Drosophila melanogaster: one gene and its partner. The protein of the gene in region 2 purifies or fractionates together with the protein of the main gene of each other region. This does not show direct contact. Each region holds a gene or a part of one and is shown on either strand. Other genes may lie near its edges.

What was found. The genes of interacting proteins can lie anywhere in the genome.
Region 1: the proteins of DAAM (region 2) and Myo31DF purify together in Drosophila melanogaster (affinity purification with western blotting, with the first as the bait; one study listed by BioGRID). This does not show direct contact.

Annotation. Positions count from the first base shown.
Region 1 is NT_033779.5:10,502,904-10,508,392, reverse strand, and holds the start of Myo31DF (myosin 31DF), read left to right. Parts: upstream 1-1,613; 5' UTR 1,614-2,378; coding exon 2,379-2,467; intron 2,468-5,489. Other genes in the region: CG7384 (uncharacterized protein), read left to right, coding at 1-123, 181-306; CG6094 (uncharacterized protein), read right to left, coding at 525-974, 1,038-1,199. UniProt on the Drosophila melanogaster protein: Unconventional myosin that functions as actin-based motor protein with ATPase activity. Binds to membranes enriched in phosphatidylinositol 4-5-bisphosphate, and can glide along actin filaments when anchored to a lipid bilayer.
Region 2 is NC_004354.4:1,304,690-1,311,032, forward strand, and holds the start of DAAM (dishevelled associated activator of morphogenesis), read right to left. Parts: upstream 3,784-6,343; 5' UTR 3,435-3,783; coding exon 3,387-3,434; intron 157-3,386; exon of another isoform or gene 77-156; intron 1-76.

The DNA of each region.
Region 1 (5,489 bases), on a different chromosome or scaffold from region 2:
TTGTATGCGTCGAGAATAGGGTTTAATCCACCAGCAGTAGAACGACGCCAACGCCACAGCGTAGTAAGCAGACCATCGCAACGGAGCCACGAGGTCTCCGTTCAGCTGAGTCCTCCACAGCCAGTAAGTAGCACACAAAGCTGTCTTGTCTATCCCGAGTGCTCATTTCGTGTATTCCAGCGTCCACGATTCGCGAGCATGCCATCGCAAGTGGGAAAGGACGAGCCAGCTAGGGATGCGGCCATCCAAGTCGCGAGCTCCAAGAGATTTACGGTAACACCAGCTCGAGTGGACGAGCAGACCTAGAATGTTGTCAAGTCCATTTGGGTTTCCACTCTCACAGATCTTTGTATAATATTTAAATAATGTAAGTGTCAATTTTGTAAAGTTAATTAGTTGTTATACTCCAGCAGGGGGTATGTCCGTACAGAATCTGTGATAGTGCTAACCTGCAATGGCGTCCATAGCATAGTTAAGCGTATATGTGTAATGTGCATCTTTGTATAACAATTTCCAATAAAAAACTACAAGTCTAATCCGCTCGGTCCCTGCCGATCCGCTTTGACTTGGGCGCGACCACGTTTCAGTTGTAGACGTTCGCGGACCGCTCGCTCCTGGCGCCTGCGCAGCTTCTCCAGTGTCTCCTCGCTGGGTGGCGCAGGTGCCACAGCCTCCTGGGAGCGTATGATGGTGCGCAGCTTCTCCAGCGCATCGGCCAGGTTCATTTGCTGGGAGCGCGTAAGATCACTCTTGATGTAAAAGTAGCCGTCTTTGGTAATCCGGTTTGCCAGCACCTTGAGCAGCTTCTGGCGCGTCTGCTCGGGTATCCAGTCCGCTTGTGCCACCTTGAAGCGTACATCCACCTTGGTATTCACCGTGTTCACGTGCTGACCACCGGGTCCGGAGCTCCTGCTGTAGGTGATCTCCAGTCGGTCCATGGGAATGAAGCCGCTGAACTTGTCGCTGCCACTGGGCTGGGTGGGGGATGTATACATATATCAATAGATGGGATCCCTGAAGGCACTGCATCCACTTACCGGCGGGGGCGGCGTGTAGATTTGCAGTCGGGCGCCGGGATAGATCTTGTCCAGGGATAAATCGCTCTTGTAGGAGAGCTGACGACCCAGAAGGTTGCCTGTGCCGCCTGAGGAGCTGCTCTGGCGCAGAACTCTTATGAAGGCACTCGTAATTTTATTCATTTTATGCCAAAATTTCAATGAGTTAAGCTAAATTAAATGTTACGAGAACGACGTTTGTGTTCACCACAGAACAGCTGTTCGAGGTGAGTTGCGTGCAGTGTGACCGAACTTAGCTAAGCGCGACAATTCAAAACTCCCAAATCGAAAGCTTGTTTTATCTTTTATGTAACCGTGTTTTCTTTATTGTTAATCCTAAAAAACAATCTTTAATCTTAAAACAAGGGAAAACGATACTTTGTACGCCATACTCTGTAACTTTTCCACTGTCACAAGCATAAGGCAGTGTGGAAAGTGCATTAGGTAAGTCCTCTGGTTGAAGTGCGCACTAGCCAAGTTCCAAGCCATTAGTGGAGTGCCAATTTAGGCAATTTTCAGCTTCGTATGGCGAACATTTTCGTATTCGAAATGTCTGACCACAGTCCCTCTGCAACTTTCATTGAATGCGGTCGAGTGCGGTTGTGCGACGGCCGATTGTTGTTATTAATCCGCCGCAAACGAAACTGAATCCAGGTGGGCACTCACACCGATCTTCCGGACTATATTGCACCGACCTTAAATATATACACGTATATCAAAGACTGGAGAACCCAAAAACTAAATGTTTACAACGTGCGGCAAACGCGAAATTTGCGGTTTTCATTAAACAGTGAGGTAGATAGTGGTTGCGATCGAGTTCTCGTTATATTTATATTTCTGCTTTCGATCTTGTTCTTGTTTTTTTTTTCTCCTGCTCGATTCCAATTGGAAGCGTTCGATCGGTCCAGAAATCCAGAATTATTCTTTATTGATCGCTGTGACTGCGTGTTCGCCGAGAATTATTCGTCGTCATCAACAGAAGCGGCCCGAATTGGCTCATAAAACATAAAAATCGCTTGGCAGCAGCCACACGGAATATATATATATATACATATGTATAAATTTATTTATATTTGTACGCATATATAGTTAAAATTCGAGACGAGACGCGAAAGGCGAGGCAAACAAAACAAGCAAATAAAAACGTAACAAAACAAAAACGAAGTGAACAGCGTGTTTTTCGGGATACTCCTTTCGTTCTTACCTGAGTTTTCGACTCTCACCTTTGCAGCCGGCAATTAGCATCCCCCCCTTCGATCCCCGGAATACCGCACCCTCCGCTCGCGAGTTAAACTCTAATAAACGCAGGATCAAAAGGACACCATGGCTATGCAACGGGAAGCTGGAGTGCAGGACTTCGTCCTCCTCGACCAAGTGTCCATGGAGAAGTTCATGGATAACCTGAGAAAGCGGTAAGTTTGCCTCTAAATTATTTAAGAATTACAAGCTAAGCTAGAATTTTTAATAATAACAAAAGACAGAGAGATTACTTTTACCTTTACCGTATCTATTGATTCCTCCGTTGGCCTTGTCCTCCGCCAACTTGTCCATCTCCACTCCACATCACAAACGACTCCCCCCGCGAACTCCGCGCCTTTGGGAAAACCACTTTTCCTCCAGTCGATGGTCTAGTTCAAGGCTTCTGTTTTGATCGATTAGCGAGCGGAAAAACTGGTTTGACCGTAGTTCTTGGCTTTTCCGCCTTGATTAAACTGGATTTGCTTATCGGCGTTTCAATTAAAGCCGACCTTATCTCCCTCATTTAACCCCTTCCCGCCGAGTTTTCGGTTCCACTCCAGAGGGCACTCAATGGACCCATTTACGTGCTCATTTGGAGTGCTAAACTCTCCTTTTTGTGGCATGACTTTCGGTTTTAAATGCATTCATTAGTGGCATTTCAATTCAATTTGGTAGTTGAACGGAAAGTGGTAATAGATTTGATGGAAAAGGAGAGAAATTCTTAAGAAATATGATATATTTAGCTTAATTAAAGGTTTTTTAAAGTTGGTTACAAACAAAAAATGTGACTACAAACTGCATGAATAAATATTATAAAATGATTGAGAATCAAGCTAACATGTTCAAATCTTTCTGCTTTTTGTAGTTTAAAATAGTAGTTATCAAGTAGCAGATGTATCTGTAAATCATCCAGCTACCATTATCTAAGTTAAATATTTAAGAGAGTGAAATCCATGTCACATTCCCACTCCGGGGACCAACCGCCCAATCGCGTGTCAATATTTGTGTGGCCGGCACTGTGGTTCCAGGTGGTTACCTACATGACCATTATGTAAAGTTCCTTAACCCACCGACAACCACGCAGCCACAACCCACATATATCATTTCATTTTATTTCATTTCGGTCCGAGTGTCAACAACTTGTTGCAACCGCTTCCTTTGCACTTGGAGCACGAATGGATTCCCCATCCATTTTCATACCGGGTCGCTGGTTTGCTGCATGGCTGGCTAACTTTCATGTGGAAATGATCGTTATCCGGAAAAGTTCTCGCCACCACATACATTTTGTTCAACTGATTGGCAGAGCATTGCAAAATTGTAGAAATTCGGGGTTTTGGTAACAAGTCTGCTGTTTGATAATTAAATGATTATTTTTCCAAATATTTTGCAATGTCTATAAATAAATGGTGTTACGATTCCCCGGCACTGATTCATCTAATCTGTTTATGTTTATATTCACTTAATTGCTAAAAGACTCTCGGACGATTCATCACAATAACGATTTGAATGATAAGACAAAAGCTGCAAATGAGTCAAATTGTTCAAATTGCCATCGCAAAAGGAAACGCATTGGAGTAAACCCAGTTGTATTTTGAGCTGGTTAATTACCATGGTTGAGATTAGTGGCTTGCATAAGACTGTAATTAAAGCGGACTTACGGCCAAAGATGCGTTAACCCACTTTGGTGGCTCACAAATCGCTTATCAAAGCATCAGCAAATCAAATTAAGCTGTGTAAATTGAACTAATTACATAATCACAGTCATACCTGCAATAGCAAACACGATTTTCATGTCTTACTGTACGGCATAATCGTAGCATAACTCAAATCAATTTGCTGTTTGTTAATAAATATTTAACAGGAAAGCCGGAAAACTGAAAACCAAACGAGTTGAGAAACTCGCCTCAACAAATTGAGGGTCAAAAACGCGCCAAAAATGGGAGGAAAACGCACACGTAATTGGAAAATGTGCGATGAAGACGTAAAAGAAATAAAACTCACTTTCATTTGGCATCAATCAAATGGGGAAATGAATGCATTTCGCTGCACATATATATATATATATATATATATATATCTAGTTTACTTGTTTGCCACATGACATCACATGTGTACTCATTGTTTGGCAGCTTGAAAATCCTATATTTTATTTAAGCAATATTAAATATATCTGCATGCTCCGTGACTCATGCTGTGTATCTTGCAGATACGCGAGTCAACAATAAGAAAACTGAAATAAAAATGCCATGGCGTAGCCAAAATACGAACCGGTTGATGGCGTCAGTTTGGCCGAGAGAGACTCACCCACAAAATAGAAGAGTGTGTATGTGTTTTTGAAAAGAAAACTTGTTTCTTTTTGCCCCCAAAATGAACCCATCTGGGATTCCACGATCCCCCAAAAGAAACAGATGAGTTCTCTGTTTGCCGCAATCCAAGTTCGCAGCATTTGGAGCAAGTTGATCTTTTTTACGACTGTCATTAAGTCGAGTGTCCTCATGGGAGGGCCAAGTGGCCCATAAAATGCCTGATCGATTGCCCTCTGACCCTTATTGGCTGCCAATGCATCACATGCAACAGAACTCAAGTGCCCCATTTCGTGTCTACTTAGCTGATAAGTTTTGTTTTCATTTTCGACAATTGTTTACGCATTTATTTGTATTTCAAAGAGAACTAGCTAGCATCTAAAGCTCTCGTATTTTCCATGAACTGCTTTCAGTGTGAAAAATATTCACTGGGGTCGTTGAATTTGGAGCATTATTTTTGGATTTTATTAAGTAATTTGTTTGACATCGGAAAAAAATTCAAAATTCTTTAAATGTGACGAGGTGAAGAAGCCGATTAAACATAGGTATAAATAATATATAGCAAAAATGCTATATGTACATTTTTACAACGCATGTCGAATACATATAAATTATAATAAAGTGTTGAGACTATAAATTTATGGAATCCTTAATAGATTGTACTACACTCCATTGCTATCAGTGTTCAGAGCGATAAGCTTGGCACACCCACTTAAGCAAAGTTCCTGAGAGCTCGAAGTGGGTCTTCCCCATCAGGCACTTTATGAAATCGGTGGAACAAACTATGAGCAGTTTTAGCCGACAAACTGATGATTCATACGACGATATCCACTTTCAATGCGAACAACAAACTGCATTTCATTTTCATTTAAATGCTACTCACTTTGTGCTC
Region 2 (6,343 bases):
GGTCAGGGAAAACGAGCTTGACCTTAGGCCCCTGCCGAACGAAACCAATCGCGATTCCAAACTAACTGAACCTCACCTTGTTTTTTCGCGGCGGCTTCTTGACTTCAACTTGCACGGCTGTTTGCATCTTCCTGCCCCAGAACTGGGTTCTCAACTGGGCAAAGTTTTTGGCCGAGATCCGTATCTTATCCAACTCGGTCCAAAATATAGCTATATTTGCCTTGCTTTGCATGTTTACTTGCTTTGACACTGACAATGATACGCCATCCAAGATGCGGAGATACTCAGCGAAAGAGTGGAAGAGCAAGGTGGCGGGGAATCTTATCACAGCTGATGTGATAATTACCCAGAGCAAATACTGAGATACATGGTATTGTACTATATATATGGAACTCCTCGTTTAAGGTGTATTTATCGTTTAGATTTCTTGTTCACATATAATTTAAAAAGAATGTTCATCGATCGCTTTCAGCTCATTTTATATAAACGAGAACCTAATATGTCCCGATATGGTTACCTTTAATTGCTAATTGCTTGGCTTATGTGCCGGACATCCCATCCACATCCGATCCACGAACAAATGCGTTATCAGCTGTCAGATGGGCACTTTCACTCGGAAAAAAAAAGGCGAAAACAAAGGAATTATGCTTTTCCAGTTGATTAGTCGGGTCAGCGGCGGCTAATTCATGTCCGCATAAATTTCAATTCAAATCTCTGACAAACTCTGGAAAGTTTCGGAGCGTAGGTGGCCCGCAAATGGATCGCATTACATGCAGATACTTTGGTATCTATTGCCATTAGGAATGATGAAGTAAGTCAAACAAGACGGCCAGCTGGAGTGGAGTAGAGTGAATTGCATTGGATTGGATTGGATTGGATTGGAGAGCAGCGGTCTCCGAATCCGAATCCAAGTCCAAGTGGATTAAATCGAGCTGGAGTGGGGACTTCACATGCAAATCAGGCTGAGACAGGAAATTATTACACACTTTTCCCAGTCTAGTTTTGGTCATGTGCTGGTGGTGCCTGGTTTCGGTTGCTTTCGCAGCGATTCATTAGCATTGCACGGCTTCCGTATATGGGCTCCGAAAATGTATAAAGTGTTCGTGTGCGGCCAGGCCTATGCCCAATTGCTATAGGGTTATATGGCTATATGGGTCAGAGCTTCCCGTGTCTAGGTAGTGATATCAATCCGTTATCGGGAATCAACTTTCTGTGATGCGGTCACCACAATCGAGGAGACGGGTGGCCGGAGACCTTGGCGGTCTGTCTGGATTTGTCTAGGGTTCGGATTACGGACTATGCCATATTATTATTTCATACACTATAAATACACTATAATGCAATAGATATATTTTTTTTTTTGTAGCAGACTTTGGCATAGCCCAAGAAATACTAGCAGGCCTTGCAGCCTCAAGCTGAAAGTGCCACATATAAATAGCAGGTAATTGGAGGTGAGCAAGTGTGAAGCCACCGGTTGAGATAATTTAACTATCCATCCAATGACTTGGCCCACATTCCAGCTCCAGTGCTCGTGAGAATCGAGTCCGTCTGCTGAATGCCCCCGTATCGCCTCGAACTACTCCGTGGGCTAGGCCAATGTCAGTCTGGCCTAGCTAGCCTAGAGCCTAGAATCCGCCAGCGGCTTGCGTCATAAATAAGGCGGCCACAGGCCAGACGAACCAGTTCGCGAGCGGGTTTGGCGGCAGTTGCAGTTGCAGATGCAGAAGCAAACAGTTGGCCGAGATGCAGATGCTGATGCAGATGCAGATTATGCAACCTGCGCATTTCGTGGAGAAAGCTCAATGGAATTCTAGCGCAGATTGCGGTAGTTGACGTCACAACGGAACTTGCCGTTAATTATTGGTCATTCGTTGGGGATAATCCCTCCAATCGCGAATTATGATAGCCCCCATTCCCTGCCCCTTCCCGTTGCCCAACTCCCTCTAGGCGTCAGTGTGTCGCCAGGAAGTAAACTCAGCGCAGCCCGAAGTGGAGCTACAAGTCATTGAAAACCCACACAAGTAGAGCGTAGGACAGACAAGTGGTATTATGACATTTCCCAACCAGCATAGAGGTGTTGTGTCAGTTGAGTTGGTGTAAAATATGCGATAAATGCCATTGCTATGCTGTGCAGTATTTGTTCTTTTTCCTTTCCAAAGCCATACATACATTTCGATGGACTTCAGTCAGCTGGGTTGCTATAAAGCTATTGCAGTTGCAGTCTTCTAATTTCATGCCGAATCCAAGCCAGGAGCTGCTTCATTCATCGCAACCAATAAGTGCTGGTCGAGAGTGCGAGAATGGGATAGCATGGGATGGGTCTTGAGAGGATCCAGCAGAGGCTCGACCGTTCAGATTGCCCAACTCTTACCCCCCATCGGCATTTCTACACTCGCACACAAGAAGGCAACCGAAAATTATTACTAATTAATTATTGTTGCACAAACAGCAGACGCCTGGCTGCAGTGCACCTCGAGTACTTTCGGTACCTCCAATACCGATCCCATCCCGCCATATAATTTGCCGAATTGGACGTCGGCCACTTGTTTGTTTTTCGTTTGATTTTTGTTTTATGTTTGTTATGCGGCGCGCGGCATTTCGTCAGCTCATTCAATTGAAGCTCATTCAGCCGCACTTAAATCAGGGGCGAAGTGAGCGGGGGAATTGGTGGATTGCGGGATGGCGGCCAATGGGCACTTAATTTCGCTGGAGCGCATTTCACTTTCATTTCCACACAATCAAAATACGTCGAGTACCCGGGCATCGGACATCGGGCATCCGAGCATCGGGGATCGGGGATCGGCGATCGGAGAAGGGGGACTGGGAAAAGTGAGGCGCAAAAATTTCAATTTCATTTTATTTATGAGCGTCTAGGCGACACTTTTGAATGCAAATGACGTTAAATTGTTGGTCAAGTGAGAGCGGACTCTCGCTGCCTATTCCCCCTTTTCCCTGCCCCTCATCTACTTCGCCCCCCCCCCTCGATACGAGGCTCACAGACAGCAGGTGGAAAACCTTAGAGGTGCAGCAGGGAACTGCGTGACGAAACCAAAGCAGTTAAGAGGGACTTACCCTTCAGCCAATAACTTTTCTTCGAAATTGCAAAAGGGGTTGCGAAGTAAAAGCACAGAAGCTAGACAGACTTCCTAACCAAACAAAATAGTTTATGAATATAACAATAGATGTATTAAATGTACAAAGTATTCGAGGCGACAGTGTAGCAAATAGTTTTCACACCATTTTACTGGGTTGCACAAAAAGCGATTCAATTTAACGAAACAACCGAACCGAATTCGTGTAAAGGTCCACTCTTTGGCAGGTTTAAGTGGATCGACCCAGAGACCCACTAACGCCCCCAAAAGCCCAGAGAATCCCTTGGCACTCACCGTGTTGATCTTATCCATGAGGACACTCATTTGATTCATGCTCGACATAATGATACTGCTCTGTAGCACTGGAATTCGAATTCAAAAACTATAACTATAGCGTTGCAAGTCTCTTCTGCCGCGGACTGGGATGCAGCACCAATTCGCACATCACGCACTGCTCATTGCCAATTCACTTGATGCAAAAAAAAATTAATCCGAAGAAAAAAAAAATTTTAAATTGACATACAAAGTGTATTCAAACAGTGTTCGTTCGCTTTGCGAAAAGCACACGCGCGCGCGTATTTCCAATTTCCGATTTAATCAGTTCGACTTCTATATAGCCTATAGCCTTAGGTTTTGCTTTCCATAGCCGGTCTCTGTCTGCCGGATGACTTGACCCGCTCGCGTGCGTTCTTATCGACGGCTGGCAGCGCATTGAACGCTCGCCGCTCAAGACGTGCCCACGGCAGCGGCGACTTGGCCAAAAGCAACACGACGAGCACGAGCACGTCGCCGCGGCAAGCCGAAGAAGTTGGCCAAGACAGAGTGGCAGCGACAGGTGCCAGCAGAGAGCCCGAGAGCCGGAGCGGGCTCCAACGCGAACGCGAAACCGGTCGACGGCAGAAAGCGGGCTCTGAGCCTATTCTGTGCCTAATGCCGCAGACCCCACTGTGTCCCAGTCTCAGTCGCACTCCCGCCCGCACACCGCTCGCCTTGGCTCGCGGATTGGGGCCGCCTTGGTGGATAGTGGGTGGTGGAAGGTGCTGCATTTCCATGTGCGTGCGGGGTGCATTCCTGGGGTATTTATGAAATCACAAGGGCTGAGACACTTGAAGAGATATCGAGGTAATTATGGGTGTGAAACGAAGAGCTTACTGCTACGAGCATTTAGAAGACCAAGCGGAGCCTAAGGTCCACGATACTGGAATACCACCTGCGATTCATTCCCAAATGCAATCCAACCAGTGATAGTTTAACTTCGAAAGGAGACAACTAGCCGACCAATGTAAAGGAGTTGGAAGCATGAAACCAAGCCAAGAAACAATTGGACAGCCGAACTGTCTATCGAACAACTTAATTAGCTCTGGCAAATCAGCCGCACACAACAGACAATTGTTAGTCCGCTCGATAAGTTGTTCGGCAACATGCACATAGCCATGTTCACCGGTAACTTTGGCAATTGTGGGCTCAAAGCCGCCAGAGTCGAAGTCAAAGTCAAAAACAATTTAAGGTCGTCACAAGTAAAGTTTGTTATTCCCTCTCTTTTGTTTCGATTTTGCAAGTGTCATGCAAAAAATAAAATATCATGGCAATACCGCCGTGTAAAAACACCGCCTCTGCCCCTCTATCTCCACTTCCCGATTTTCAGCAACGATTCTCATCATCTCTTTTTTTTATGTAACGGTCCTTATTAGAGCCAATGTTGTTGTCTTATACCGACGATCATTGGCCAAATACCGAATGCTGACGGTCATTCAATTTGGAGTCGACGGCATGAGGTGGCCATCCGTTCTTTAGCTGTTTTGGCTGGATATTCGCGCCTTTTTTTTTTAGCTTTTTGATACCCTTAACAGTTGAAGAGGCAAATGCTATTATTATTTTAAAACCAATTTGATGGTGTAACCATCTTCTACCACGTCTAAATTTTGATCGTTGAAAATAGAAGAGCGACTATTCAATGATGTATCATACTTATATTTATGGGCTGTAAAGCGCACTCATTTTCCGATTTTCTAGACCTATCGAACATTTACCAACTGCCTCCTCGGCAGCGAACCGTCTTCAATGACTTCTTACTCACCTGTTGTTGCTAATTGGCTTCGTTGTTGGGATTAGTCTTTGGCTGCAAGTGGAAAAGAGGAGAACGGCGAGAAGCAAATTAGTAGGAATCCGTCATAGTCATAGGTAGTCGGAGTGGTAGTCTCCCTATTGATTAATGCAATCCTCACAGCCCGAGCCAAATCGAATCGACTCTCCCATTTCCCATCTCCCATTTGCTACTCGAAGGGCTTTTTATGGGTGTTGTGCCAACTCATCCGAAAGCCACCACGCTTCGATCGCAATTACTTGGCCATTATGTGATGCAGCCAGACATAATTTCCCATTAGCAGCTTTTTGTCGATGGGCCAAGAAAACGTGAGCATGAGGCAGTTCGTAATCACTCAAAGAACCCACTTCATTTCCCTGGCTAATCTGATTTGGTTCGCCCCTATCTCCAGGCACAACCTCTGCCCAGCCCCTTTTCCATTTCCAGCTAATCGCAGATGCTCCTACTTCATCAAGTCTGCCTCCGCCCGAAATCTTGTAAAATCATATCCATATCATTTTTGAGCTTGAGCTGACGAAATCCTAAAGTACAGAGAAGGTGTTTAAAAACATTGGTTGAAAGTGAAATTTTGCCCACGGCCGCGTCGTCTTCAATTTGTTTATTTTCGGCTGTTTAAATGAGTTTTCAATTTCACTAGAAAGCATGAAAGTACGGCCTTTTAATATTCTTGCCGGGCAGAAATCACAGCGAAATGGAGAAATACACAAACAATTTATCCGCCTGTTGGCACCTGACATGAATGAGTCAAACACAAGTGTTTGCTCGCCCCGTCCTTTTCCTTCGGACTCTCTCTCTCTCTCTTGCGCACGCCCACTAAATCACAAGTGTGAGTGACGAGTGGAAAGGGTGGAAAGGGTAGGGTTAGGGGTGCAGGTGAAGGGCGCGATAACTGATGTGATGCGGCTAATCTGCTTGCCAGTTTCCTGAGCCTTCTAGGGGAAAATCAAAAGACTTAAGCAACGAACTTGGGGAACAACGCTAAGGAAACAACAAAGCTGAGTAAAATAAATCTCTCGATGAAAGTGTATTATAATAATCACTGACAGCTGCCTCTCCCAGCGGCGGATCACCCGCATCTGTGCCACTCGCTCGCACATCCGTCAATTGGCCCGACTCTTTCCGGCTTACGGATTTCTGATTACGGCTC